Linked DNA regions of Caenorhabditis elegans. The protein of the gene in region 1 purifies or fractionates together with the protein of each later gene. This does not show direct contact. Each region holds a gene or a part of one and is shown on either strand. Other genes may lie near its edges.

Evidence for each region.
Region 2: the proteins of T09B4.8 (region 1) and ZK1320.9 fractionate together in Caenorhabditis elegans (co-fractionation; one large-scale study listed by BioGRID). This does not show direct contact.
Region 3: the proteins of T09B4.8 (region 1) and alh-9 fractionate together in Caenorhabditis elegans (co-fractionation; one large-scale study listed by BioGRID). This does not show direct contact.
Region 4: the proteins of T09B4.8 (region 1) and alh-1 fractionate together in Caenorhabditis elegans (co-fractionation; one large-scale study listed by BioGRID). This does not show direct contact.

The regions. Positions count from the first base shown.
Region 1 is NC_003279.8:6,162,996-6,169,979, forward strand, and holds T09B4.8 (Alanine--glyoxylate aminotransferase 2, mitochondrial), read right to left. Parts: upstream 3,545-6,984; 5' UTR 3,537-3,544; coding exon 3,364-3,536; intron 3,320-3,363; coding exon 3,196-3,319; intron 3,078-3,195; coding exon 2,653-3,077; intron 2,606-2,652; coding exon 2,496-2,605; intron 2,439-2,495; coding exon 2,158-2,438; intron 2,108-2,157; coding exon 2,021-2,107; intron 1,977-2,020; coding exon 1,842-1,976; 3' UTR 1,724-1,841; downstream 1-1,723. Other genes in the region: T09B4.4 (EF-hand domain-containing protein), read left to right, coding at 5,022-5,055, 5,123-5,257, 5,307-5,409, 5,451-5,607.
Region 2 is NC_003280.10:9,681,654-9,689,131, reverse strand, and holds ZK1320.9 (Acetyl-CoA hydrolase), read left to right. Parts: upstream 1-2,418; 5' UTR 2,419-2,420; coding exon 2,421-2,476; intron 2,477-2,526; coding exon 2,527-2,633; intron 2,634-2,686; coding exon 2,687-2,839; intron 2,840-2,885; coding exon 2,886-3,047; intron 3,048-3,156; coding exon 3,157-3,234; intron 3,235-3,278; coding exon 3,279-3,689; intron 3,690-4,392; coding exon 4,393-4,658; intron 4,659-4,706; coding exon 4,707-4,892; 3' UTR 4,893-5,044; downstream 5,045-7,478. Other genes in the region: ZK1320.13 (Purkinje cell protein 4-like protein 1), read right to left, coding at 6,126-6,186, 6,233-6,303.
Region 3 is NC_003281.10:5,853,801-5,861,033, reverse strand, and holds alh-9 (Putative aldehyde dehydrogenase family 7 member A1 homolog), read right to left. Parts: upstream 3,826-7,233; coding exon 3,619-3,825; intron 3,570-3,618; coding exon 3,112-3,569; intron 3,064-3,111; coding exon 2,338-3,063; intron 2,290-2,337; coding exon 2,085-2,289; 3' UTR 1,855-2,084; downstream 1-1,854. Other genes in the region: dpf-4 (Peptidase S9 prolyl oligopeptidase catalytic domain-containing protein), read right to left, coding at 1-350, 488-986, 1,044-1,402; cct-6 (T-complex protein 1 subunit zeta), read left to right, coding at 5,352-5,488, 5,540-5,603, 5,652-5,786, 5,835-6,007, 6,061-6,776, 6,823-7,217.
Region 4 is NC_003281.10:5,073,914-5,081,984, reverse strand, and holds alh-1 (Aldehyde dehydrogenase domain-containing protein), read right to left. Parts: upstream 4,221-8,071; 5' UTR 4,220-4,220; coding exon 4,127-4,219; intron 3,415-4,126; coding exon 3,286-3,414; exon of another isoform or gene 3,239-3,285; coding exon 3,042-3,238; intron 2,701-3,041; coding exon 2,423-2,700; intron 2,377-2,422; coding exon 1,630-2,376; intron 1,569-1,629; coding exon 1,480-1,568; 3' UTR 1,324-1,479; downstream 1-1,323. Other genes in the region: cox-6A (Cytochrome c oxidase subunit 6A, mitochondrial), read right to left, coding at 1-47, 115-250; Inactive tau-tubulin kinase ttbk-6, read right to left, coding at 6,017-6,127, 6,171-6,258, 6,305-6,624, 6,670-7,017, 7,282-7,287.

The DNA.
Region 1 (6,984 bases):
ATGGTTGCCTTAAAGGCGACCTACGTACGTCACGTGGTCACTACAAATGCCATGTGAACTTTTTTATCGTAATAACTGATCTTTAAACTAATCTAGGAGCGCCTACGTTTACGAAAAACAAAATTAGCTTTTAAAAGTTTATAAAACGGAATATCTTCATAACATAAAATCTAAACTCGCTTCAAACAATTACAAGAAATTTACTAGAAAGAATAAAATTAAATCAGTAGTCAAACTTGGAATAGGACTATTCTTAAGGAAGTCAAACGCAATAAGTACCCTTTTTTTTGGGCCGGCCCATTTTTGTGTATCCTTTCACAATGACATAACGATGAATGAAGCGATGTTTTCCCTTTCATCTCCTATTTCTCTTCTCAATGAACCAGTGAACACGATTAAGTGACCAAAATGACCAGCTAACAGGTTGTTTTATTACAAAGCGATTCACGCTGAAACGAAGCTGCAAAAAAGAGTTTGCCGCCAGCAGGGGTCGAACCTGCGACCTTGGGCTTATTAGACCCACGCTCTAACCGACTGAGCTATGGCGGCCAACACATGTTCAGGAGCCCGGTGCCTACGAGACAAAATGGTTGAAAATGAAAGATGGTAGCTGAGCGCGTGATGAAAATCAGCAGGTTGACCACCTGGTTTTTGTTTTCTATTGCTATAAAGTTAGAAAAAACGAAACAAAAATGATGCAACTAGAAGTACTGTAAGTCATGAGAAAGAGGAAGAACTTTCATCAATAAAAAGCAAGGAGAAACAATTAAAAAAAAAACTGAAAATGTTCTGTTCCGCATATAGGCAAATGGTGTAATAAGGAATAGATCCTTCAGGTTTTAAAGGTTCGATAGGATGACAGCTTCTGCAAAACACCGTCTTATCTAGATTGCCGGTGTTGTGTTGCAGTGTTGCATAAAAGTTGTAAAAATCGTATCCGATATCGGTCGCAAGCTAACAAACAATAACTAGAGGCCTCTAAAAAATATCACACCCTCTATAGAGGGTGTGATATGATGCAACTTGTAGGATTCAATACTGTTTTATATTAATAACTGAGAAACATGTCGAACTTTCAATCGAACGTATACGCATTCAAACAGCAATTCAAACCATATACACACCTTATAGATTAATGCATTCAACCTACGTGCTTATTGCTGTTTTATTCGTACGCTTGAAGAGTGCATTTTATGCCGCCATAGCTCAGTCGGTTAGAGCGTGGGTCTAATAAGCCCAAGGTCGCAGGTTCGACCCCTGCTGGCGGCAAACTTTTGCCATGCTATCACTTTCACCTTTTTCCGCATTTCGATTACATCATCAGTTGTGCGGTTGGCGTCGCCTAACCATCCGATGAGATAACACCTATGTCGCATTTGCCGCGCGCCAAGGACATGCGGATCGGAACCGGTTTTAAGCTTTTCTTAATCTCAATCCACAGCAGAAGCAGCAGCCGCAGTACATGCATGTCGCTTCATTTTTTTAAACATCGTCCGTCCACCAGCACCTTGTGACGGAGAAGTGAAGCGCGTACATAATGCCATAGTATACCAATAACACATAAACGATACATGTAACTGGATGCGTTTTGGAAGAAGCAAAAGAGAAATGCGAAAAAAGAAGAATACCAAGTTGACTGACGGATTTTCGTGTTCAGATCTGAATTTGTAGCTGTACGTCTTAAAAAAGGGAGTGGTCTGAACAATACAAATTGAAGCGTTTTGGAACAATAATTTCATAGAACCCGAAAGAATTTTGAATATTTGAATTATAGTTTGAAACAACAACAAAAAACAAGAATTTGGTAATATCGAAATGAAGAAATGACGGCGCCTATGAAATTATTTGTATTGTTTAATTGATTTGGCAATGATGTCTACAGCAAAATCGACATCCTTTTTAGTAATACACATTGGTGGTTTGATACGGAGAACGTTTCCATGGATACCTCCTTTTCCGATCAGTAGGCCTTGGTTCTGTAAATTAATCTGATAGTTAGACAAGTAAAATGGCATTACACCTTAGTGTCTTCGAAGATAGCTGCTGTTTTGGCTGCGGCAAGTGGTTTCCCTTGCTCATCGATAAGTTCCACTCCGATCATTAACCCCTAAAAATCATCAAATTGTATATTAAAATCTTTTTAGAGAGTTTTCTCACTTTTCCTCTAACATCTCCAATTGTCGCATCATCAATTGCTGCAAGTTGTTTCAAGAAGTAATCTCCAACAACAGCGCTGTTTTCCTGAAGCTTCTCCTCTTCAATCACTTCCAATACAGCTTTTCCAACAACGGAAGCTAATGGATTTCCACCATATGTATTGAAGTATAGAGATTTGTTGAAAGAGTCGGCAATTTCTTTACTAGTGACAACAGCTCCCAATGGGAATCCGTTTCCGATTCCTTTTGCCATAGTTACCATGTCTGGCAAGGCATCTTGTGCTGAAAATTCAAAATATTGATTTCTTAGTTTTAGTATTATTTATTTTAAAAACTCACATTCGAATCCCCAAAAATGAGAGCCGAGGCGTCCGAAACCGGTTTGTACTTCGTCAGCAATAGCGAGTCCTCCCCGTTTTTGTACAGATTCGTAAGACTTTTTGAGATATCTGGAAAAATCAAATACACATTTTTCACTTTTCTTTTGAGATTTTACCCATGTGGATACTGAACAGTTCCTCCAACTCCTTGAATAGATTCAATCAAGAAGGCAGCTGGTCCGGATGAATGAGAGAAATCGTGAAGAAGCATATCATCGAACTGTTCAATGTACTTATCAGAAGCTTGACAGGATCCAGGCTTGCAATCGCATTTTCTGTTCTTTACTTGAATTGGAGAGTCACGACAATTGCTTCCTCCAAAGATTCCACGATATGGATCAGCATTCAATGACTTAAAAATGTTGAATCCATGTGGAAAAACTGGTTTCCAGTTTCCCAAATTAGTTGCTCCAAGAACAGTTTGGGTCATTCCATGATATCCATTTCTCATCGAGATAACATCAAATCGTCCTGTGTAGTTACGAGCAAGAGCTAAAGCCAGGTCATTTGCTTCCGATCCAGAGTTCACAAAGAAGACTGACTGAAAATTTGGATGTGAAGAAACGACTAGATATTTAGTAATTCACTATAGGAAGGCCTAACAGTTTCAAGTCTGCAAACTGTAGGGTTTGATAAAAGGGTAAAAAATAAAAACTAACATTCAATTTGCTTGGGAACTTTGAGAGCAACTTCTCAGCATACTCATAAATTGGTTCAGTGTGATAAATGGACGTGGTATGCCAAAGCTTCTGTGCTTGCTCGGTAAGAGCTGCGTTGATTTTTCTGAAAGCATAAAATTCTCATAAGCTTACAAAAAGAATACTCACGGATGACAATGTCCAACTGAGACTGTGACAATTCCACCAAAGAAATCGAGATATTTCTTTCCATTCGAATCAAAAAGGAATTGTTTTTCACCTTTCGTAATCAAGAGTTGATCCTTGTAATAGGTCACATGTCCCTTTGGAAGTAATGGACGAAGTGCCTGCACTCGTTGCATGGTTTAAGCTGAAATTTTTTCAATATTTGATGAATCGATTAAAGGGATCCAAAAAATAATGACTTGTGGAAAATTTTGAAAAGTTCACGGAAAAATCTACTTTCGTGTGGAATACAAGTTAAATACAGGAAATCATTAGAACTTATAGGCATTTAAGAAACACAATTGCACACAAAATAACTGGAGGGTGTGTCAAATGTTTCAAGGTCAAGTTGGATATATTACACAACACACACACACAAAAATGCACCAAAAAGACAACTGTCTATGACTGTCTGCGTATCTTCCATTCAAATACTTTTTCATTTGGCTCTGAGACAGTTGTCGTTGGGAAAATTAGAGAGAGTGACCAATAAATGTGTGGAGAAGAGAAAAAGAGCAACGTGTTTGAGGACAGAAGTGCAAAAGAACAACAAGTTAAAAAATTAAAGAAAGAAAAATGTCATTATTAGAACGGTTCTTTGTGAAAAACTGCCTGCAAAAAGAAAAAATGAAAGAAAGAATTTTCATAGAACAACTGAAAGATATCAAGAGATGATAATTGATAACTGTTGCACGTATCAATTGATAAAAATGAATAGGACATTCAATTCTGATTATTGACCCTTTTAATAATATTCTTGATTTGACTTTATGTGGTGGATCCGAAGAAATACTTTCAATACTTTCTCGTGGGGCTTAGTTCAGGCTTGGGCATAGGCGTAGGCTTAGGCTTAGGCAGGCCGGGAGGAGGAAGAGAGCACATGAAATTCCAGAAAATTGAATAGAAGAAAAAGAATAGAAGAAAAAAAAAAAGAAAAAATGCACAAAACCCATGATAAATGGAATTAATAAGAGAAAAAATTGCACAATCTTGAATTGTATTTTTCTTCCCCTCAAGTTTTGATTTTGCGGTATTTATTAAAAGTTTGGAGTATTCCGAGTATTATTTATAAAACCAACTTAACTGTTGAATCCATAAAGTTTATTTTCCGTGTGACTTTTTATTTATAAGCAGTACCCGCAGTGTATTATATTCTGTAAAATTGCCGAGTTGCCGAAAATCTAAGTCTTCTTTCCTTCTCGCATCAAAACTTTCTCTTTTCAATCGCAACCGTTCTCGTGCGACTTTCTTTTTCTCTTCTTCTTCACAATTTCTTTGCTATTTCTTCTTCTCTATGTAAAAGATGCAGATAACCCAAATTTGCGTATTGTTATCAATACCAGTGTTGCATACAACATCAATTTTCTCATTTATTGATTTTTGTTTTGGTCCAAGTTGAGGATAATTTTTCGTTGAGAAAAAAGCTTGTATTCCTGCCAAATCTCTCGTTTTTTCTTGTTTTCCGCCTTTGTTTTGACCCGTCAAACACCGTTCCGCGATTCGCTTTTTATTTACCTACGCTCTCTCGTTTTCTCACACAGTTCTTTTCACAGAATTTCAATTCACATTTTGCTGCTCGGGTTTGGCTATTTTATATATTAACATTTTAAAACAAAGAAGAAATGACTGAATTTTTCTCGCAGAAGCAGATTGATGGTAAGTGAAACAACACTATAATTCCAAGATTTGACTCCGAAATCTTTACTTTATTGTTTCTCATCAGAAATTCGTGAATGCTTCAACTTTTATTCAACCAGTGGAGTACTAAGAACAGATTCTCAACTTCGATGTGCTCTCCGAAGTCTTGGATATTCTCCAACTGCTTCCAAAACTGATATTTATTTCAAGAAGCTTAATAGTATGAGTTTTAGAACATTACACTTCTGAATGATTGCTATTTATTTCAGAAAAACCAATCGAATTTGCAACATTTTTGGACATTTGCAAAGATGAACAAAATAGTCCGAATCCACTGACGGAGATTATCAAAGCGTTAAGTGGATTGGATAGGTTAGTTGATGTGCTTTACAAAATAAATACGAAATTTTCAGAAATAAAACTCGCGCAATGCCATCTCGTGAGCTTGCCGCAATACTTTCACACGTTGGGGAGCAAATGAGTCCAGAGGAGATTAAATATCTTTTATCAAAAGTTGAGGTCAACGGAATGGTTCCTCATCAAGCACTTATTGAGTATATTTCCAAATGAAATTTACTTTGAGCAAATAAAAATAAATTGTTTTTATCTGGGAGCTGTCTAGTGAGTTATTGGATTAAGAACGGCTGCAATATATTTGGAAATAATTATTAAAAAATTATAATTTTCGTCAGGGCAGTCACAAACATGTCAGAACAAAACACGAAAAGTAAAATTAAAAATAAAATCCTAATCTTTTTCTCGCGACTAAAATGTCTGAATCAGTATTTTAGTAAAGAAAATACCCCAAAATAGTTTTGGATAATTTGGTAATGACCAAAATAGCAGATAAAACAAAAATGAATACAGATGGATTGAAAATTTGACTTTTGGAATCACCAAAATCACCAATCGCCAAAAATGCGAAGTGCACAATTCCAATGATGCATAAATATGTATAGAGCTCGTCCCGGTTTAATTTCAATTCTTGGAATGTTAAGTTTACGTAAAGTCATGTTAAAGCTTTCGAAGTGTATCAAACTTTCAGTAAAAAGCTTGAAATACCCAGCTTTCCGAGGCCGTCTCTGATCTGGCAAGTTGAGCAACGTTGATTCCAGTTTGTACTTGGATTGGAGGCGGCCTGAGAATCCTGAATGTTACAAGCTTTTTGCCAAAAAGATGTAGATATAGTTCGAAATCTTGAACATGACTTCAGGTAAATCTAACATTTCCAGAAATGAATTCAAATCAGTTTTTGTCTCCTCCATAGGAGATGTTCCAAAATTTGTAGCCGACACCAAATTTCTTTTCGTCAGAATTGTTTTGCGTACCATTATCACCTCCTCGAAATAAACAGATGAACAACAAACTATCGTGAGGGAGTACTCCGCGCGAGTCGTTTTTTTTATCTTCATGCTATGTATTAGAAGGAATTCGGCATTTAAACATGCAGTACGTGAATCATTACTTCCGACCGGCTTCAATGTTAGTCATGTCCGTTGTGTCAAAATTGAACACAAAAAAGTGCCGAACGCTTTTTGGTTTTAGTCATGACATACACAAATGACACATTGCAAAGAACAAAAGTGGATACCGACACATTATGTGGTCTCCTTTTTTGTAGCAAAAAATGGTTCTTGTGAAGAAATTGAATTCTTCAACAAGGAGCAACGTATCACATTGATATTGTTTCAAAAAAAGTACTCGAAATGCCCAAAATAACAAACTTCCAAAATACCAAAATACCAAATTTCACAATGAAACTTCTCAAAAAATTATGCTGAAATCTTCAATTTTTGAAATTTTTCTTTATCGTTGCTACCGGAAATTGAAAATTATAAATTTTCCCGCGCACTCCTAAAATAAATGTTCTTATGTATTTAATTTAATGATGAAAGTTCTTATGTATTTAATTTAATGATACGGTAGAAAGGAGATATTTCAATCTAA
Region 2 (7,478 bases), on another chromosome or scaffold:
AATTAACACAGCATTTTTTATTGTAGAAGTGGCTTGATCGGTTTTATTTAGGGATCAAATTCGAGAGTATTCATTTGTAGTGAAATTGATTTAAATTCAGCTGTAGACCGTTCTCAAAAAGTAACTCCGCTTTTAGTTGTTAGCTATTTTTGATTGAAATGGTTGTAAAACAACAATAAACTAATTGCAGAATTCAAATATTTCTTCCCAGAGTGAGGTTGTAAATACCCACACTCGTTTATAGTTTTACGACTACATATCGTCTCCTTTTTGTTTTGATGACACACAATTATGGCTAACTGATTCAAACATATAGCTACTAAAGTATTTCACTTTCAAACACTATATCTACAAGCAAACATATTTGCTTATCAATATCAGCCATATTGGACACCTTAAAAACATATCCCATCTTCAAACTCTCACGATGGCTGAAGAAAAAAATTTTTTTTTTTAATTTTTCAATTTTTTTTAAAGTTTAGGTATTAATTTGCTTTGATGTGTCTAGATATTAAACAGCTATTTGATATTTTCATACATTCTTGTTGTCGCATGTTGATGATGCTCAATCTCAAAAAAGGCTAGGAAAAGTTATTTTTAAATTTGACCGTCGCTCACTTAAGAAACTTTAAAGTTAGAAGAAATAAAACATTACAAAATCAATAAACATGTTAAAAGCTACATTTCTTCAGTTAACCATTTTCATGTATCTCTTTTCGTTGCTGAGCTACGTTGTGTTTATGTACTCAGACGCTGTTAAAATTTCACTTCATATTATTCCAAACTCTAGCCTGTAGCTCAAATTTCAGTTGTCTAATAAAAATGCTGTCAACTGACAAAACATTTGTCGCACTATTTGGCACATTTGGTTTACTGCGAATAATGTCAAATGGTGTATTCTTGCAGACTTGCAGACATCTTGCAGACATGGGGGCCTGGAATACGAAAAGGGATCTAGATGTTATCTGCCAACTTTCAGAATGAACTGAAGCTTCTAGACCGCTTTTTTTGTGTATGAACTCTATAAAATTTTCAAAGAAAAAGCTATCCCATACGTTGAAAACAAAGTTGTTTTGTACTTTTCCGCTTCTTTATTTTTCCCACATTAATTTTGCACAAAATTCACTCTATAAGAAATTCATAAAAACAATAAACGTAAGGAGAATGCTATTCATTGATGATCCTGAATGGAATAGAATATCAAGCATCTTATCCAAAATTTTCTTAAAAGTTCAGAGCATAAGGTGTTCTACAAAAAATTTAAATGTTCCAATAGCCCCAAAAATAGCCGTTCGAGAAAAGTGATAGATAGACACTTTTCAGGATACTACAAAGTGGAAAATTGACGAGAAAATTTGGGAAACCGAGTTTAAATTGGTTCGAAATAGTCGTTTGGGTGAGCACTTCGGTGAGCAATAAAACAAATTGTTCACGAGAACCAAAATAGGATATTCTGAATATAAAGATCTCAGGATGTATACATTTCGGTAAGAAAAAGGATTTGGGGACTGTGAAAGTTAGGAAGGGATCCTAGGTGTTTCGATGTTTGAGCTGAACAATCACAAATTAACATTTCTGGTCAAAGACGAGTTTCCCGTGCGGTCTATACATTTTTTGTATTATTGAACAAAGGTATGTTTTCGGATGTTTTGCATGTAGGCAATTGCATAAATATTCGTTCAATATCCGAAAAATTCTGTAAATCTTGGTTCTTTATTATGCTTTCTAGTCCGTGTGACAGTACATATATCGTAACTTCACTAGATTTTTAAACTCCTTCTTAAGAAGTGTCCCAGCGCGCAAAAAAGTTTATGGTAGCTACCGTAAACTTTTTGCGCGCCAAGACCCATCTGAATAAATCCGTGCGCCTTTAAGAAGGAACGTCAAAATCTAGTGAAATCACGATACAAATTATATTTTCATTCCAATTGTCATTATTATTTTGAGTCAAAATTTAACTCTTCCGGGTTCCCGCAAAGTTCAAAAATCCAAAAATCAAACGCTTGACTACACTATTAGAGAGTGCATGAAATCGAGAGACACCGACATTCCATCGGGATATCGGAGTGTCGTTTGTTTGGAAACATTTTTTTTCGAAGCGATTTTTTGATTTTCGTGAACAATTTCTAGTTTTTGTAGGGTTTTCGAACTTTTTCTAGTTTTGTCAAAAGAAAAACTGATTCATTGATGTGTTATCAGTGATCTTAATTTGTTCTCTCATCTCCTCGTGATTCTATTTTTGAGAGAAATTTGAGAAAAATGTTTTGGAAGAACTGAAGGAGGTGGAGCACATAGAACATTGAAAAAGCATTCACATGTGAGGTTTCGATAGCTTTTCTTTTATCATTCACTGAGTTTTCTTTTTGATTTTTTCTCAATTCAATTGAAAAAATATTTTAATTGTTTCCATTTTTGCAGAAATGTCCTTGAAACTGGCCAAGCAACTATCTAAAAGTTCAGTTATTTCCCTCTCAAGGTTAGTGTTCTTCTACAAAAGTCGATAATTTTTTGAACTGTGATTTTCAGGCATTTCACAAATGGGCCTCGTCTACCAACAAAATTATTGCACGCAAAACCTGGATTCGTGCCAAAATATGTATCGGCAGATGAAGCCTTGGCGATGGTGAATTCAGGTTTGTATCCGAGAAATTAAAATTAAAAATCTCTAAAATTCAAATTATTTCAGATTCTGATATCTACGTTGGAAACCATGCGTCTGCTCCCAATGTTCTTCTCGAAGCACTTTGTCGTCGTGTTGATTCGGCAAATCTCAACAATATCCGAATGTCTCATCTAATTTTAAGCGGAAATTGCCCACAATTCGACCCTAAATATCACGGTGAGTCAATTTCAAGTATTTTAATTTTTAAATTTACTGCTTTCAGGAAAAATTCAAAACAACAGCCTGTTCATTTGCCCGGGAAATCGTAAAAATGTTAATTTGGGCGCCGCTGACTACACTCCGATTTTCCTCTCTGAAGTTCCCTCTTTATACACAAGTGGAACATTGAATGTTGATTTTGCACTGATTACTGTCTCTCCACCTGGTAAGAATTTAAATTTGATTAAAAGTCGCCATAAAAAAAAAAGCGAAAACAGGGTTTTGTGATTAACAACTTTATAAAAATTAAAAATTTGTTTTTTTTTCTATTTCAGATGAGCTCGGATTCTGTACACTTGGAGTCGACATTGACACAACACTGGCTGCAGCGACTAGTGCCAAAAAAATTATTGGTAAAAATAAATAATCAATAAGTTGCAAAAAAATATTTTTTCAGCCCTTGTCAACAGCACAATGCCCCGTACCCGAGGCCACACTACTGTCCATTCTTCTCATTTCGCTGCAATGGTTCAAACGGATCGACCAATCGCTTTCCGTCAGTCTGGTGGAGAAGAAATGTCTGAAACCGAACAAAGAATCGGAAAAATAATTGCCGAGAACCTTGTCGACAACGGAGCCACCCTTCAACTCGGCATCGGAGCAATTCCAGACTCGGCGTTGGCAGCGATGAAGCAGCACAAAGATCTTGGAGTTCACACGGAAATGTTTAGTGATGGAGTTATTGATTTGATTGATCGTGGAATTATTAATAATCAAAAGAAGGCTTTTATGCCAGGAAAAACTGTTTCCTCGTTTGCTTTTGGAACAAAGGAATTTTATAAGAAAATCGATAATAATCCAGAGTTTTGTAAGTTTTTATTTTACCAATTGTAAAAGTGATTTTAATTTTTTTAAAAATAACTTTAGAACTGTGCAAGGATACCACAGATATCCGTTTTTGCTGTTAAAATTAATTCAACGATTTTTTAAAATTTTTTAGATATTTTTTGTTGGTTTTATGAGCGAAACAGAAAAATCGGAAAAATACAAAAATTTTGTAAAAACGAAAAAAATTCCAAAATTCAAAAATGTCCCGATGAGGGAAAAACGAAATCTCGAAAATTTGGAAAATTCCGATTTTTCGAATTTTTTAAAAATGGAAAAATCGAAAAAAAAATGTTCAGAAAATTAACCATAAAATATGATTTTTATCTAATTTTGTTTTTTATTGATAATAAATAAATAAATAAATTGATTCTAAAAAGAAAAACAATGACCAAAATTTTAAGCTAATTTTTGAAAAATCGAATTTTATAATACAAATTTTTAAAAATTGAAAAACGAAAAGCCTTCGATTTTTCTTTTTAAAAACCGCCACCCTTGGTCCCAATTATGTGTTCATCAGAACCGTTACAGAGAAAATTGTTTTTTTAATCAGAAAAATTTTTAAAAAATTAATTTTCAATTTGGATCAAGAAATATATCAAAAAAAAATTGTAACTACAGAAACCCAAAAAAAAAAAAATTCGATTTTTTCCATCTTCCAACTAAAAACCCAATCATACTTTCAGATTTTGCCCCATGCGACTTCACCAATCATATCGACATCGTCCGCCGTAACAGTAAAATGACATCAATCAACTCAGCGATTGAAATCGATTTGACGGGACAAATCGTATCGGATTCGATTGGACGCAATTTTTTCAGTGGATTCGGTGGACAAGTCGACTTTATGGCTGCCAGTCCACACGGATTTGATGGACTTGGAAAGGCGATTATTGCATTACCATCGAGAACCACTAAGGGACAAACGAAAATTGTTCCATTCTTGACACAGGTTAGTTATAAACGGAAGCTATATTGAAGGTTAAAGTTCAATTTTCAGGGTTCTGGAGTGGTCACGACACGTGCACATGCCAGATACATCGTTACCGAGCATGGCATCGCCAATCTATGGGGAAAATCAATTCGTCAAAGAGCCTATGAGTTGATTCAAATCTCTCATCCGGATGATCGTGAAGCTCTCGAAAAGGCTGCATTTGATCGATTCAAAGTGATGCCATCTGCGTGAGAAGCGAATCAATTGCAGCTCCCTCAACTACTGGGTATAATGGTTACCGAGTGCCCGATTAAATCTAGTTTTCATTTCTTTGTATTATACGGTTCGACTTCTGATGTGTTTTCTTATTGCACATAGGTTAAATTATAAAAATGTTATTTTTGAAACTTCACACTACAATAATTTATTTGGAGGTTATCTGAACATTTTGAAGGAGAGTCGGGCGAGTGTGGAATCTACAATTATAAAACATGGATGTAATGAAAGCATACAGGAAAAGAATCATGAAGAAATATCAGAGGCAATTCTAAAGTTGACAAAAAAAAAGAGAGATGGAAGTGATCAAGTGGGAACAGTACACATGTGAAGATGGGGAGTGGTGGGACAAACACAATTAACCGATCACGATCACGTACAATTTTCAAATCACTTGTTCATCGATGTGGCTATCCGTGGTGGATGTTCGGATCGGAGCCCTGAAACCCAACACAATTTAAGAGGATTTTAGTGCTAATAGCATAGTAAGAATTACTCGACTACATAAAACGTTATAGTTAAAAACGGTATCTTACCGAATGTTGTGCATTTGGATAGGCTTGAATGATCAATGGTGGAGCAACTCCCGAAGATGGTGGAACTTGACTTGCTCTCTTGGACTCATGATCGATTCCACATTTAAACATATCGAAAAGCTCTTTCTGGGTTCCACCAATCGCCTCATAGGCAACTTTCCACAAATTGGAGGTTGAATTGTTCCGTCCCAATGCTAACTACATTGTCCAGCGAGCATTTTGATGAGGCCGGGGCATTCCAGTGAAGTCAGGAGACGAATTGTTTCCAGCCAAAAGGGGACGTTCTCTGAAGTGATAGGGTGAGATACCTTTGCTTGATCCAAGAAATCCTAAAATTACCTTTTTTCATAACTTTGTCTCCGTTCAAATGTCTCTAATCAAATATAAGGCCTACTATAGACTTACCAAATATCCAATTCTGGAACCATCCGCTTACAATCTCGCGGCAAATTCTACGAGATGCTTTCCAGTGTACGACGGATTAGTATCCATGAACATTTTCACAGCTTCTCGAGCACCGTCTGCACATTTTACATATTCCTCGTATATCGTGATGGCACGACAAACGTCTCTGAAAGGATTATATCATTTATTCGTACACTTTATTAACATTTATTGGTCTTTTGAATTAAAAAAGTTTTTATTATAAAGTTATTCACAATAGATTATCAAATTATTGCTTATCAACGGCAGCAACTACCGGCGCAGCGGCTTTGGCTCCGAATCGTTTTCCTCTGAAAAAATCATATTTTTGGGGAAAGGAGGTTGAAGCACTCCTACCGGAACACATTTTGAATTTTCTTTGCAGCGTCTTGAACTTGTGGATCTTCCAAGTTGATGTCGATTTCTTCCTGAAAAAATATATGTTAGCGGGCAAGCTAAAACTTTTTGAACTAGACTAACAAAAATATGTTTAGTTTATCTGGAATCTCACGTAGTTATGTGTTATGCTCATGAATTATAAATAGCAGTAGCGGAAATATTCAGAAAATTTCCAAGAAAACTTGATCAAACTGGAACATCAATAATTCTCATGATGTACTTAAATGTGTATGAATATTGTAGATGGAAAGTTGACGTTTGCAGCCAAATTCAATAATTGGAAAATGTTCGAATATCGTCTGCGAAAATCCGTGTGCGTCTTTATCAGTACGGTAGTTGTTAAATGTTCTTTAGTTTATTATCATTTTTATCCAAGGTAAAACATACAAGGATATTCAAAGAAAGAAGATCATAAAAATCAAAAAATTTCCAGAAAAAGTTGAGGTGTATTTAATAGGCGGTACTGTATTTTTCCAGTTCCCTTTCTCATTATAATTTCCAACTTCCCGGTGCAATTCGAAAATGTTTGAATAAGGTTCTTTTTTTCTGCATCTACTCCTCCATCTGCTTCCTTTTTTTCACTTCTAAATGAGTTTTCCCTCCCCTTTCCGAATCCATTTGCTCGTGAGCGTATATTTATGCGAAAAGTGCCGAGAAACGGCGAAAAAGGACGAAGAAGAAGCAATTTGGCACACAATTCCCCCCTTACGCACATTTTCTCACTATCTGATGATGGGTGTGTGATGTTTAAAAAACGGATGTCTGAAATGATGAGAATCGTGAGTGAAGGGCTCCTGAGCCACCTGTCCTGGGAATTCTATTTTTTATTCTTCTCTTTCGTTTCAAAAACTAGGAAAATTCAACATTTTCGCTATGTTTGTAGCAGCTGCAAAGTTGCTATTGAATATGGTCCGCTGTCAGTTGGGTCGTATCACGAAAACAATTATTTTGGCACACCTTCAGTAAAACAGTTGTAGAAATTTGTCGGGTACTGTTTTCAGATAACTTCTTGCTATATGCAGAAAGACCAGTTTCCGAATTTTAAGATGAAAAACTGCCAGATTTTAGTTTTCTGCAACACACTTAACTAAATCTCAGCCATATTTCTTAGAATTTTCACAAACTTGAAGCATGGAAAACAATTTTTCATATGCCACCGCTCCGTAAGATAGAAATTATCTCCGTTATATGAAGTTTTTATAAT
Region 3 (7,233 bases), on another chromosome or scaffold:
GGAGGAAGTGTTCCAGCTGGAGCAGAATATGAACAGTTTTTCGGTGGATAAAAATAACCAGAAACATCAACTCCATCCGATTTGAACACAAATTCTTCTGGTTCCGAAATCTCGAGAGCGTCGATTTCCGAAGAATCTCGGGATTCGCGATGAACTTTTAATGGGAAATTTTTGTTCGCGAGATCGATGGAAATAACGCTTGAAGCTCGTTTTGGTCCAGAAGCAATTGCGAAAAGATCAGAACCATTCTGGTCGAGTGAAAGATATCCAAATACAGTATAGCCTGGAGTTGGAATCTCTACAGTAACATCTCCCGATCGGACATACAAAATTCCGTCTGCGTTCATTACCTGAAATATTTAAATTTCATTAGGTCAATTTAAAAATTCGAATTTTTGTGTTTAGTTCAACTAATTATATTGAAAATTGTAAACTTAGGTTTAAAATATTTGAAGAATGTTTTGAATTTCCAATCTAAAATTCTCACCAAATATTTTTTATTCAGAACATAATTTCTGAAACCAAGCTGCCAAAGCGGGTAGCTGATCTCTCGTTGAATTGGATTCAGGTTCTTCTCGACGGAATTTGGCTCTGCAGCTGATTTATACACATTCCACCAGTTTGTGCTATCATTCACAGTTAAAAGCTCATCACCATCCCAAGTTGGTTCGGAATAGTTGATTTGTTTTCCAGTTCCGTCCTTCAGCGTCACCTCATTGCTGGATTCTCCACCTTTGAGATCAGCCATTCGGATGGATGTCTCGTCCCATGGCATATTTGGAAGGCTCCATTGCATCCAGACAAGCTTTTTTCCATCCGGGGAGACTCTTGGATAGGCGTAAAAGTCGGCTCCGTGAGCTATGACGTTTTGATTCTTGGTTGCTCGGTCGATGGAGATTAGTCGATTTTCGGGAAATTTTGCATCAGCTTGGTGGGTTTCATTAACACAAAATACATGGGTGTCAGTGGCTGAGAAGTCGGAGAATCTGAAAATGTTTTTTATTTATTTTTGAAAGTTATACACCATTTAAATTATCCCTGACCTAAACATTCGATTATTTCCTTCTGCCAATTGCTCAACTCCGGAATCCGCCGACTTTTGATAGAAAACTCCTTCGATCGTAGCAAACAGCACTGATCCATCAGCAAGAACATGTAGAGCACCTCCTCCGTACTCGTGAATTGCAGTTTGAACAGATTGACCATCAGCCCAGCGTGTACGAGTATCTCCATTCGTTGGTTTTGAGTAAAGCTCTCGTTTTCCAGTTACTGAATTCTGTTCAATCCAGTAGACATTGCCACCGACAACTTGCATCTCGCAGATAGACTTGCAATTACATTTTCCGAAGAGATCTGGTGTGATCGGACTATCCCAACTTCCGTAGACAGCTTCAGTTGCCATTTTTCGGGCACTTTTTATGCTGTAAAAATAGTTATTTTAAGAGAAAAATAAATATATTCGAGATAAATTCGTCAATATTTACAATGAAAGCGTTTTTGTAATTGTGAGGTTTGTTTGTTTCCAAAACAATCAATAAAATTCAATTTGACAGACTTTCTAAGTGGATTAGTTTAAAGTTGTTTAAAAACATTTTTAGAAAAAACTCTTAATTTATAAAACAGGCATCACCTAAACATACAAAAATGCCATCATTATAATAATTGTATTTAAAAAAAGTAAAACTTGCGTTGGGGCAGAAAACAAGCGGAAGATTCGGAGAAGAATCTGCGTGAAATTGAATTTATAGTTTTAGGAAATGACTTAAAGTGATGAAACCAATCAGCTTATCGGTTTTCAAGTATGCGTACGGTTTTTCACCAGTCTCGTCAATTTTATGACATATATGCTGAAAATATGTTGCACTTTATTTTGTGGAATGAATAAAAAAGGAAGTTTATTGAACAAACATTAAAAAAAAAACTAAGCATTTGGAATGATATGGCACAAAAATTCAAATCACAAAAGGAGAGGACAAGAGTTGAATTACACGCAATTTTAGAACGGAACTGAGAATAATTATGCATGAAAAAAAAACATCTCAAATTGAATGAGAAATGAATATTTACAGAAAATCTAAACTAAGCTATTCGAATTTAATTCCCTGAGCCAAAGGAAGTTCCTTGCTGTAATTGATCGTGCAGGTGGATCGTCTCATGTACTGCCTCCAGGAGTCGGATCCTGATTCGCGACCTCCACCGGTCTCCTTTTCTCCGCCGAAGGCTCCTCCGATCTCTGCGCCAGATGTGGGAATGTTGACATTGACGATTCCACAGTCACTTCCTTTTGGTCTGAAAATTAAATGTTAGTTTTAAATTCACAATTTCAGAAAATCTCACCCCATCCATTTGAAAACATTTTGAATATTTGTTGTAAATAGAGAAGAACTCAATCCTTGATCAACTTCATTATTGATTGCAATAGCTTCCTCGAGGGTTGAGAACTTCAGAACATAGAGAATTGGGGCAAAAGTCTCGCGAAGAACAACTGGAGAATCGTGCTTCAATCCAGTGACAATTGTTGGGAGAACAAAGTTTCCATCCCTCTCAAGAACTTTTCCACCGTACTCAATCTTTCCTCCAGAAGCAACTGCTTCGGCAACTGAAGCCTTGTACTTTCCAACGGCCTGTTGGTTGTGAAGTGGGCCAATAATTGTGTTGGAATCCAATGGACATCCGATTCTTGATTCAAATTGAGCATAAGCTTTCTTCAATCTCTCGAGAACTTGATCGTAAACCTTATCGTGAACAATGAGTCTTCTCGTGGTTGTACATCTCTGTCCAGCAGTTCCAACGGCGGCGAAAACTGTTGCCGGTACAACCATGTTCAAATCAGCATCCTCGTTAACAATGATAGCATTGTTTCCACCGAGCTCGAGTAGAAGCTTTCCGAAACGAGCCTGAACTTGTTGTCCAACGATCTTTCCAATTTCTGATGAACCGGTGAATGAAACTAGATTGACTCTCTTATCCTTCACAAGAGCTTGACCGACATCACCCTCTCCACAGACAAGGGAACAGAGAGCTGGATTTACATTATTGGCAACAAGAACCTCCTCGACAAGTCTGAAAATAGTTATTTAGTGATTACAATTATGAAATAAGCGAGCTTACTTGGTCACAGCAATAGCTGTCAATGGTGTGGATGGAGCTGGCTTCCAGACAACAGAATTTCCTGTGACAAGAGCTAAAGCGTTATTCCATCCATACACTGCACATGGGAAATTGAAAGCCGAAATCACACCAACAACTCCAAGTGGATTCCATTGTTCGAGAAGAGCGTGTCCTGGACGCTCAGAAGGAAAGATTTTTCCTTCAAGTGATCTAGAGAGTCCAGTAGCGTAGTCGCAAATATCGACGTATTCTTGAACTTCTCCAACTCCTTCGGCAGAAATTTTTCCCATCTCGAGGGACACGAGCTTTCCCAGGTTTTGCAACTGCGTACGGAGCTTGTCTCCGATTTGACGGACGATTTCTCCACGTCGTGGTGCTGGTACCTCGCACCAATCGTTATAAGCCTTTTTAGCTTCAGAGATGGCGATTTCATAGTCTTGTACGTTTCCATTTTGTACCTGGAATTTGAAAGTTTTAAAACGTTTAGGGTATGTTTTTGAAACTTACATTAGCAATAGGGGAGTTATTTGCTGGAGCAAATGACTGAACAACTTGTCCACTCGCCGCCCATTTTCCATGAAAGACTCCGGCGTTGTTCTCCGTGAGACCAAGCTCTTTCAGGAATCCGTACTTTGAATCGTTGATCAGCAATTGCGACGCCATTCTGGTCTGCAAGGTAGCTGCAGACATTCCACTGCTCAACAATCGGTTCATCTGGAAACAAAAATATATTATTGTTAGACGCTTTGAAACAGAAGGTATTAGAAAACGAAGAGGTTAGTGGTCAAAAAACAAGAATGAATTGAAAAATGTTCGAAGGAGATTGAATGAAATGTATGGGCGGAGCGAGACACGGGCAGATTGTTTATGACGACGAAAACTGAGATGAAATTGATTGTTAATCAAGGAATTCAAGGACAGATTGCAGATCAATATCTATAAGACTATAGAATGCTGTAAATTTTATGACGTGGAACATGATACAAGGCTAATGATTTACAGCGGTTACAAGTTGTGTTTTTATGGCAGGCAACGTTTTATATATCTGATTGCAGAAACATTTTTCAAAAAATGCGCTCATAGCTCATGAAAAAAAAAATGCGGCATGCCAGTCCGAGGTAAAAACGAAGAAATGACGAGTCACGTGACTATTAAAAATATGAAACCACTTCGTGATAATTATAATAATTCTTTGATTATTAATATTAACTCATTCCCTTGTCATAAATATCATTTTCTCAGTCGTGATCTGCGGAATAGTAGTATTCTGCGTATTCGCGGCAAAGAAGGCGTGCAGCCGGTTGATATATATTTAGTTTCCGAATCAATGATGATATGAAGACAACCATGATAAAGAAGAACACAATGCAGTGACCACTAAAATTTGTGAAATGGAAATTGTGGAAAATTGCAGTCGCTTGCTCGACACAAAAAGAGCTATTCGGCTTATACATAACTTCAGGATAAAATTAATTCCCAGAAATTCAAATAAAAACACAGATCCACTTAGTTTGTATATGTTTCGTTGAAAAGGCGAATATTCGCACAAATTTCAATCTCTCGCACAATTTTTAACTACGGGAAAGCTAACAACATGGAATTATTGTGTCAACTTAATTGTAAATGTTTTAAAATGTTATTTTCACTGTAGAGTGTATTAAGCAAAATGCATTACATTTTTGAGCAATTTCAAATAAATCCCAATTTGGAAAAACTTGCAAAGAATTTGAATTCCCGGTAATTTTTTTCAAATAAAAACGCTTACCTTCTTAGCTGCTTTTGCAGCAACTGATGCTGCATTGGCAGCGGCCGCGCATCGTTTGCATCGTCTTATTCCCGAAAAGGGTGTATTGGGGCATTTTTACTGCGGAACAATGTAAATAATGAAAAACCTAATTTTGAAACACCGCGTAAATCCTCCCCGAAAAGCGTAGAATGTCTCTGCGTGGTGAGACCCAGTTGCGAAATTGTGTGCGCCTTTAGAAGCGAATTTATTTTCTAGAATAAATTCAAACGAGAATCATTGTTTTTCAAGGATTTCTGTTGAAAGTCTTTATTTTTTATTTAAAAAGTTATGTAATAATACATTTTAGAACCTTTTTGAATTGTAATATGCTCTCGAACCTTTTTATGCGTGTCTATTTTCCTCTTGAATCGTTTTCCAATCTCATTTCTCCGTTTTTTAGTTTTTGTTGGTTTTACTGAGATATTTCATAGTTGAATTCTTGTTTTCAGGTAGTATGTCGTCAATCCAGTGCCTGAACCCGAAAGCTGAGTTAGCTAGGCATGCTGCCGCTCTCGAGCTTAATATTAGTGGAGCTCGTGGACTTCAAGACGTCATGAGATCGAACCTCGGACCAAAGGGAACTCTCAAGATGTGAGAATAAACTGATCAAATGTATAATTGAGACTATAATCACATTTTCAGGCTCGTATCTGGAGCTGGGGATATCAAATTGACGAAGGATGGAAATGTCTTGCTTCACGAAATGGTTTGATCGTTTTGTTCAGATTCAGCGTTTAGCACTATTTAATTTCAGGCGATTCAACATCCAACAGCCTCAATGATTGCCAAGGCTTCGACGGCACAAGACGACGTGACTGGAGATGGAACCACATCCACCGTTCTCCTTATCGGAGAGCTCTTGAAACAAGCCGAATCTCTAGTTCTCGAGGTGATCAATTTCCAAAGTTTAACTTTAAACATTTATTTAAAATTTTAGGGTCTTCATCCACGTATTGTTACTGAAGGCTTCGAGTGGGCTAACACAAAAACCCTCGAGTTGCTTGAAAAGTTCAAGAAAGAGGCTCCCGTTGAGCGTGACCTCCTTGTAGAGGTGTGCCGCACTGCTCTTCGTACCAAACTTCATCAGAAACTTGCTGATCACATCACCGAGTAAGAAACAAACAATTAAAAAGTAGTAAAAAACATTATCTTCTTAATTTCAGATGCGTTGTCGACGCCGTTTTGGCAATCCGTCGTGATGGAGAGGAACCAGATCTTCATATGGTTGAAAAGATGGAAATGCACCACGACAGTGATATGGATACCACACTTGTTCGTGGATTAGTTCTCGATCATGGAGCTCGTCACCCAGATATGCCAAGACACGTTAAAGACGCTTACATTCTCACTTGCAACGTTTCTTTGGAATACGAGAAGACTGAAGTCAACTCGGGACTTTTCTACAAGACCGCCAAGGAACGTGAGGCACTTCTCGCTGCCGAACGTGAATTCATTACTCGTCGTGTTCACAAGATTATTGAGTTGAAGAAGAAGGTTATTGATAATTCTCCAGATGGTAAGAATAAGGGATTCGTTGTTATCAACCAGAAAGGAATCGATCCTCCATCTCTTGACTTGCTTGCTTCCGAAGGAATTCTTGCTCTTCGTCGTGCCAAGAGACGTAACATGGAACGTCTTCAGCTGGCCGTCGGAGGAGAAGCCGTCAACTCAGTTGATGATTTGACTCCAGAGGATCTTGGATGGGCTGGACTCGTTTACGAGCATTCCCTTGGAGAAGAGAAATACACGTTTATCGAGGAATGCCGTGCTCCAAAATCTGTGACTCTTCTTATCAAGGGACCAAACAAGCATACCATCACTCAAATCAAGGATGCTATTCATGATGGACTTCGTGCTGTTTTCAACACCATCGTTGACAGTGAGTTTAAATTTTATTAACTTCTGTTCTAGTAACCTATTTTCAGAGGCTGTTCTCCCTGGAGCTGCTGCTTTCGAAATTGCTGCCTACGTGATGTTGAAAAAAGATGTTGAGAACCTGAAGGGACGTGCCAAGCTCGGAGCTGAAGCGTTTGCTCAAGCTCTTCTCGTTATTCCAAAGACACTGGCCGTAAATGGAGGATATGATGCTCAGGAAACACTTGTTAAGCTTATTGAGGAGAAAACCGCCGCTGGACCAGATATCGCCGTTGGACTCGATCTCGAAACCGGAGGAGCTGTCGAGCCACAAGGAATTTGGGACAATGTGACGGTGAAGAAGAACAGTATCTCGTCGGCGACAGTACTTGCATGCAATCTCTTGCTTGTTGATGAAGTGATGCGCGCTGGTATGACCAACTTGAAGCAGCCACAACCAGAATAAATATTAAAATTGTTTT
Region 4 (8,071 bases), on another chromosome or scaffold:
TGGAATCGAAGCAATGAAGAAGATTTTCTTCCAGGTCTCGCTAGCATCTGAAAAATATATTTTAATCTTTGAACATCAAAATAGAAACTATTTATTTTAAAAAAAAACACTTACTGTGAGCTTGCTTGAGTGGAGTGACATATGACTCTTTGAATCCTTCGACATTGTTGGATCCGTAAAATGATCCTGAGGATTTGCGTTGGAAGGTCTTGACGACCGAGCGGGTAGCTGGTTGAGCGAGACGGTTCATGTCGGATACCTTTAAAATTTGAAATGAAGTTGAGATTTGTGAGAAAAACGGAACGCGGGGGGAGAAGGAGGGGGAACAAACTTGTTTACGTGAAAATTGAGAAAAAAAGAGAAAAATCAGGTGATTTGATGAAAAAGTACAAAATTGTGATTTTTAAATCAGAAAAAGCAATAAAACAAACTCACAAAATAAAAACAAATGAGGTTTTTCTTACGTCTTAAGAAACCTAATAATTGCTATGAAGAATTTTAGAAATTTAAACCCGACAATAATGATTGAATGACATGGTTGAACACTTGCAGATTTGAATTCGAAAAAGTGGAATTTCTAGTCGAACAATATCGATTTACGGCTGCGGTTTATATGCTATTGTGGTTAAAAAATTCATAATTTGTAATTTAATCATTTGAAACTCAAAAATAATCAATAAAAGCACTGTTTGTGAAGTAAAACCACAGAAACGCACGTTTCCTCAAGAGAAAATAACGGAGAGGCCGTCTTCGCTGCGAGACCAGCCGGTGAAATGGCGTGCGCCTTTAAGGTGTGTGAAATAATTGTGCTGCAACATGCTGTCTAATTTGCCTATTATCTCCGTTAGAAATGCTTCAAATTTTCTGAAACTTTGTTACCTGTTAAAACATGACATGTAGAACGAACACATAAAAAATTATTAATATCGATTCATTGGCTAAAAAGTTATTGACGGAAATAAGTATCAAGTTTTGGTTCGATTCTTGCCCTTTTTGAGTTGCTTGACGGAGAATTGCGGAACCCACGAGATGTCTGCCGCCTTGCAGGTGGCCACTATATAAGCAACAACTGGTCCTGGCTGTCTCGTTCTTCCGAGAACATATACTAAAATTGGAACAATACAGAGAAGATTAGCATGGCCCCTGCGCAAGGATGACACGCAAATTCGTGAAGCGTTCCAAATTTTTTTTAAAATTTCGCGTAACCTACCGGAAGCTCGTAAAATTTTTGCCTTTTGAAGATTTTACGACTGATCCTCTAATGTACAGAGTAATAATTCGTTTGTCCTGAATCAATCAATTCACAAAGAAGTCGAGACTTTTATGAGTCGTCCTGTAGGTGTCTATTTCTTTCAGAATTCTTTTTCAATATATGTGAAAAATAGATAAATACAACACGTATATTAAGAGCAATAAACATTTTTCAAAAAAAAAAGCAAAAGGAACAAAAATTACAGGGAAAGCGAAAATTCAAGAAATTTATGAGTTCTTCTGTGGAACCTTGATGGTGACAGTCTTTACTTCAGTGTATGCCTCAAGACCATATTCTCCGAGTTCGCGACCGATTCCTAAAAGAAAAAGTATTTTTTAACTTTGGCATGGAGAAATTTTAATAATAAATTAGCTTACCGGACTGCTTGAATCCTCCGAATGGAGCAGCAGCATCGAACACATCGTAACAATTAACCCAGACAGATCCAGCTCTGGTTGCGTTGGCAATATGAAGTGCCTTATCAATATCCTTAGTCATAACTCCAGCAGCCAATCCATAAATAGTGTTATTAGCCTTTTCAACTAATTCTTCCATTGTGTCGAATCTAATGATAGTCATAACAGGTCCAAAGATTTCTTCTTGAGCAATAGTCATCTGATCCTTAACATTAGCGAAGATAGTTGGCTTCACAAAGTGTCCTTGATCTCCGTGTTTGGCTCCTCCAGTCACCAATTGAGCTCCATCCTTCTTTCCAGCAGCGATATATTTTAAAATAGTCTCAACCTGCTTTCCGTCAACTTGTGGTCCTTGAGTAGTTTTCAAATCAAATGGATCTCCGATAACAGCCTTCTCGGCCAATTCCTTGGAACGAGCTACGAAATCATCATAGATCTTTCCTTCGACAAATGTTCTGGATCCGGCACAACAGCACTGTCCTTGATTGAAGAAGAGTCCGTGGTTGGCTTGATGAACGGAATCATTGAGATCAGCGTCAGCGAAAATGATGTTTGGTGATTTTCCTCCGAGTTCCAAAGTGACCTTCTTGACATTCGATTCTGCAGCAGCCTTCATAACAAGTCTTCCAACTTCAGTTGATCCAGTAAAAGCGACTTTGTCAACATCCATGTGCGACGAAATAGCTTGTCCGGCAGTATGTCCGTATCCTGGAATTTATTTATTTGAGAAACTCACAATTTTTACAAAACTGACCTGGAATGATATTAACCACTCCATCTGGGAATCCAGCTTCTTTTGTGAGAGCAGCCACGTGAAGGGCTGAAAGTGGAGTCTGTTCGGCGACCTTCATAACGACTGTGTTTCCCATAGCCAACGCTGGTCCAAGTTTCCAAGCTTGCATAAGAAGTGGGAAGTTCCATGGAATAATCTGTCCGCAGACTCCCACCGGTTCGTGACGAGTGTAAGTGAAGTAGTCACCCTCGATTGGAATAGTCTTTCCGTGATTCTTGTCAGCCCATCCGGCGTAATAACTGTAATAAAGTTATTTTTTAATGTTAGCCATTTTTCCTTTTTTTACAATAAATTTTAATTTTTCTCATCAATACAAACAAAATTTGATTCAAAAAATTGCATTTTTTGGCTGTTAATTTTCTAAACAGTTTTTTTTGATTTACGGTTGTCCGGACAATCAAAAATTTTTGTTTTTCGATTTTTTTCTCTCATAAAATTGAGAATTCGAAATTATTTTTGTAGATCTCTTTGCTCATTTGGCAGTAAAGTTTTTCGTTTTTTCTGAGTTTTCTTCTTAATTACAGACTATTTTGGGATTTTTTTACAGCAAAATTCTCCAATTTATGCTATTCGAACTCACCGAAGAGTCTTGATAGAAAGTGGCAGATCAGCATTGTAAGCAACTGCATATGGCTTTCCATTATCCAAAGATTCCAAAGATGCCAAAATAACTCGATCTCTCTCCATTAAATCAGCTAGTCTATTCAGAAGAACTCCACGTTGAGAAGCATCCATTCGTCTCCACTCACTGCCGATACGGAATGCATTTTGAGCAGCCTAGAAAAGTTTGAAGATTGCTTTAAAATTCGAATTTAGATTTAAACCTTGACAGCGATATTGACATCTGTTTTATCTCCTTCTGCGACTTGAGCCAAAACTTTTCCGTTGGCTGGATTGATAGTCTCAAAAGTCTTTCCAGACTTGGCTGGCACAAATTCATTGTTGATGAAGATCTGGAAATTTAGATATAAACTTTTTTGAAATTTGAATCCCTGATTTGGAGAAGTATCACATTTCGTCCTAATTCTGCCCTCTAAGTTTATTTTCTCAAATCCGATCATCGTTCAGTTTTGATTGCCCTATCTCACTGTTGACCGAGTTCATTGTTCATTTCGTTCTCCACCTCAGGCGACCACGTTTTCCCTATGAGATAGTATCAGCTCTCTTCTTTTTCTTTTTATTATCATCATTTTAAATTGATCGTACTCTGTGTACTAGGTACACAACAGAGCACAACGTTGAGGGCACGTGGTTCCGTTGAAATAATGTAATGAAAACATGAGAAGAGAACATTTTTGCAGCAGAAAAACAGATCAAAAGGTTCAAATTCATCTTTTTGGTTTCTGTTGCAGTTTCTGATAACGGCGGTTTCAAAGCGCACGTAATGTGATGTTCTTGTAACTTTGAATTTCGCGGAAAATACGGATTTTTGAGAAAAACCAATAAGATTCGATGCACAATTTCCACTTTTGTTTTCTTTTTCTTTAAACACAAATTACTTGAAAATCAACGTTTTTAGAAATTGGCGATCCAATGGGCTCCGTAATTTTTTCTTTCAAAATTCAAATTAGAGTCTCTCTCAACATTGTCTCCATTTTCAAGGTTATCCTGTGTGATTCCTATCTTTTTTGCAATTTTTTTAAAACAACGTTCTGAGAAACTTACGCCGGTGTATTGTGGTTTCATGTTGGAAAGACCTGGTGGAACACCGGAGGCATTTCGTGCCTGAACTGTTGCCCGGAGAGCTGAACGGAGCATTCTGAAAATAAAAATTATAAAGGATTTACCCGAATAAGGCAAGATTTTAAAGAAATTAGAAAGAGGACGCAAAATAAAAATTTACAGGTGAATGAGGTTAGATATTGTGAGTTCACAGCAGCTCGTTTCTTCATAGAACATTTTAAATTTTAATTAAATAGAAAATAAACTAGTTCCAGTGGTAATTCGGAAACATCGAATCAGTATATCTAAAAACTGTGGCAAAAAGTGAATATCAGTATTGCAGAGACTTCTGACAAAATTATTCAAAATCGATTAACTAATCTTCTTCCAAAAATTCAACTCTAAACAAAATAGAGAAAACTAAAGATTAGATATGAAAAGAATGGACAAACACGCCAGCCTCGATGGTTAGGGTCGAAATAGATAAGAGAACACTGAGCGATGGTTGAAAAGTGACAGAGGAGGAGTCAAAAAGGCGGAGATGCAGAGAACTGCACACACAAATATACTTCAACGAAACATCTTCGAAAACAAAAAGATGAAGAAGCACGTGCTCGAATAGAACCAGCACAAAATAATGAGAATTTTTTGGAGTCCTGAAGAATAGTCAAGTATTGCACAACATGATTTAACCCTTGACCATTTAATATTTCCATGTCGAGATGGGATCTTTGGAAATGATGATAAATGAAAAACTTTGGAAAGATTGAACGACAGAGACAGGAATAGTTTCAGCAGAAATCAACTACAAAATTAAGAATTATCAAATATAAACAGAGTGGTTAACAACAAGATTCATCGTTAGTCCTGCCTAAAACCAGCAGAAAATAAACAAACGTGCAAGCATTTCAGCTGAGATTTGTTTTTATTGACAGATATAACTTAATTCTGAGAGGAAACGCGATCTTAATTCAAACGGAAGATAAACATTCAGGAAAATATTCTCAAACTGCGAGAAAATCCGAAAAAAAGAGCTAAAAATGTTTTTAAAATAGAAAGAAACTTCGAAACTGGCGCGGTGCCCTTGCTCAACAGAGCGCGCTTGGTGGCGAGACACTACGAACCTTTAGAAACTCTACTCCAGAGAAAGCAGTTACAAAGTCAACACTTGGCTTAATGAAGTAACAAGAAAAAAAGGACGAATGTAACGAAAATCTGAAGTTTTTTTTATCATATCAATTAGGCTTCGGGCTTCAAGAAAAAAATCGTCAGCCGTGGGAATCTTTTGAGAAAATGAAAGCATTCAAGTTTCTCTGCACATGTTTGAAAAATGTCATACAGTTGAATAAAAAAGCATTTCAGCATTTCACAAGCATGAGAAGCACGGGTCGCTTGAAGATTATTGTTTGAAAGTAATGATAATATGTCATAGGTCACAATTTGTATAGGCCACAATATGTCTTAGGTCATAATGGAACATGATTCATAAATGTTAAATAACAGTTGAAAAGAAAGGACTGTAGGATAGAATATTAAATTTTGTTTTCCATAAGAGACTATTGGAGCTGTAAACAAAATTAATGTTAAACTTTAACCAACAATTTCGAAGGTTCATGTTGTCAACAATGAAACCAGATGAATCTTGAAGTGAACAAATGTGTTAATTCTTCCAGTTAAACTTAGAATCCGAAAGATCTATGTTCGTTTTTTTTTTTGAAATCTGCCAAAAGATATTGGACGCCAGAACTTCATTAGCTCTAAGATGATGAACTATTAGGAGGAGCCAACTGTAGTTGAGGATTCATAGTTTTTGTTAATTTAGCAAAACAAAATCATTTTCTAGTCCTTTATTCAAATCTCATATATCTCTAGTTTTCAAGCTTCTTCCCACTTTTAAAGAACAAAATCCACTTCGGCTGGAGTAGGTGGGCCGTTGATTTCAAGAGGATTGGATTGGAAGTAGCGTCCGTCTGGATTCTCCCAAGCTGCAGGTGGAACAGACATCTGGAAGAATGAATTATTCTGAGAACTCAAAGGAAATTCTTACATCAGGCTCCTCATTTTCCCAGTCGAACTTTGAACTTGGAGTGATCTTCTCGTTCTCCATGACTTGCCAGAAACACTTGAAGATCATGCTGAAATTTAAATCGTATAAATGGATAGGAAATATAGAAAACTCACTGATCATCCGGTCTTTGGTAGTAATTGAGGGAAGCCAAATGAGGCATCAATTTATCCATACAAGCTGGCATATCAGACATGACATCCTTTGGCGTCAAGTTCAGCTTCATTTGCTCCACACGTCCGCGTCGATAATCGGTTTGCCATGGGAGTGCCTTTCCGCCGTTGAGCTCAATGATGACGTAGGGCAGTGACCATACATCGTCAACTCGTCCTTGCTCTTTACGGAGATGGACATTCGGAGACGCGTAACGAAAACTCCCACGAAACTCTGCAGAATGACGAGCTATACGTACAATCCATTTATTCTCTCGGGCATGCTGAAATTATTTGTAAATACTATGAAGTTTTAATGCTTAACTTACATAACGAGCGAAAGGTCTTCCAAGACCAAAATCCAAGATGTGAATGATTTTTGCTCTTTCACTATCCTTCTCATTTCCCAAAAATAAGTTTTGTGTATTCACATTACGATGGATGAATCCATTGTAGTGCACATATTTCAATGCATAAACCCATTGAATTCCAACACGGCTCCATGTTCCACGTGAAAATCCTTTGTTCACAACAAAATTCGTTGATTCCAGGTCTTGGAGATTTCTCCCCAATAACGTCATGACCATATAGGAGAAATTCATCTTTTTTCCATATAAGTTTAAGTTTGGGATGTGCGGAGCTGGTCCGTTGGCATTCAGCTTCTTCAGGACATGATCCTGAAATTTTCAGATACGTTTCTTGCTCAGCTGATACGTAGTCGTCTTAAGATAAGGATTTGGCCATATCTTACGCGCAAAGGTTGAGACAACGAGTTACTGCTCTCCCTTTCGAAGTTCTCCTTCTCGCAGTTCTCATTTTTGTGGTGCCTCGTTACAGTAATTTGCTGCTCTCGGGGTATAAGATTAAGGGGTATAAGATCTTTGCGTATAAGATGTGACAAAAATTATAATCTTTAGACGTCTTCGTGATATCAATCATACCTCCATCTTTATTGTATTTCCACCTTCGATTTCATTTGATTCGGCCTTCAGAGCAGCCACTTTATTTGGATCACCTCTGGAAGTGAACTATGAACTTTGAATAAAGGATTCAAAAATGAATTTTTTAAAACTAACAAAAAACCTAGACACCCACAACTCTGGTTGTCTGCTCTGATTAGTTCTTTGAATTTCGCGTTCCTTTTTTGTACAATGTCACTGTCATTGCAGATTTAAGTTTGTTTATGTTTAATATCCAGTAACCAATTTCTTGAGATTATCTGAACTAGGTGAACATGCTTCCTTGAAAACTTCCTTCAATTAAAAAAAGTTGTGAGAGTAAAATAATTTATTTTCTCCAATAACACAAAAATAAAGTACCAAAAAGAAGTTTTTTTTCATTACAATGAAGAATATTTTCTTCAAAATATGTTTTTTCTTTATAATCTTAGAACTTAAAAGACCGAAGTCATCATCTTTATTCTCCCAATTCCTACAATAAACCATTTACGAACACCAACACCAACACCAATATATTATTGGCCAATAAAGTAACATTTTTCAAATAAACTTAGAATCCATCCCCGAGATCAGTTTTCTATCAAAAGTCACTTTTATGAGAGATTGTCATAATTTTAAAAAATTTGTCAATACACCGAGATTGTCGTGTCATATCTTATCAATATAGTAGTTTTTTCGACAAATCCTTCCCGCTCCCCATGTTTCAATTGACCAAAAACCACCACTTGAGTGTCCGGTTTTATACCATTTTCCGACAATGATCATCATATCA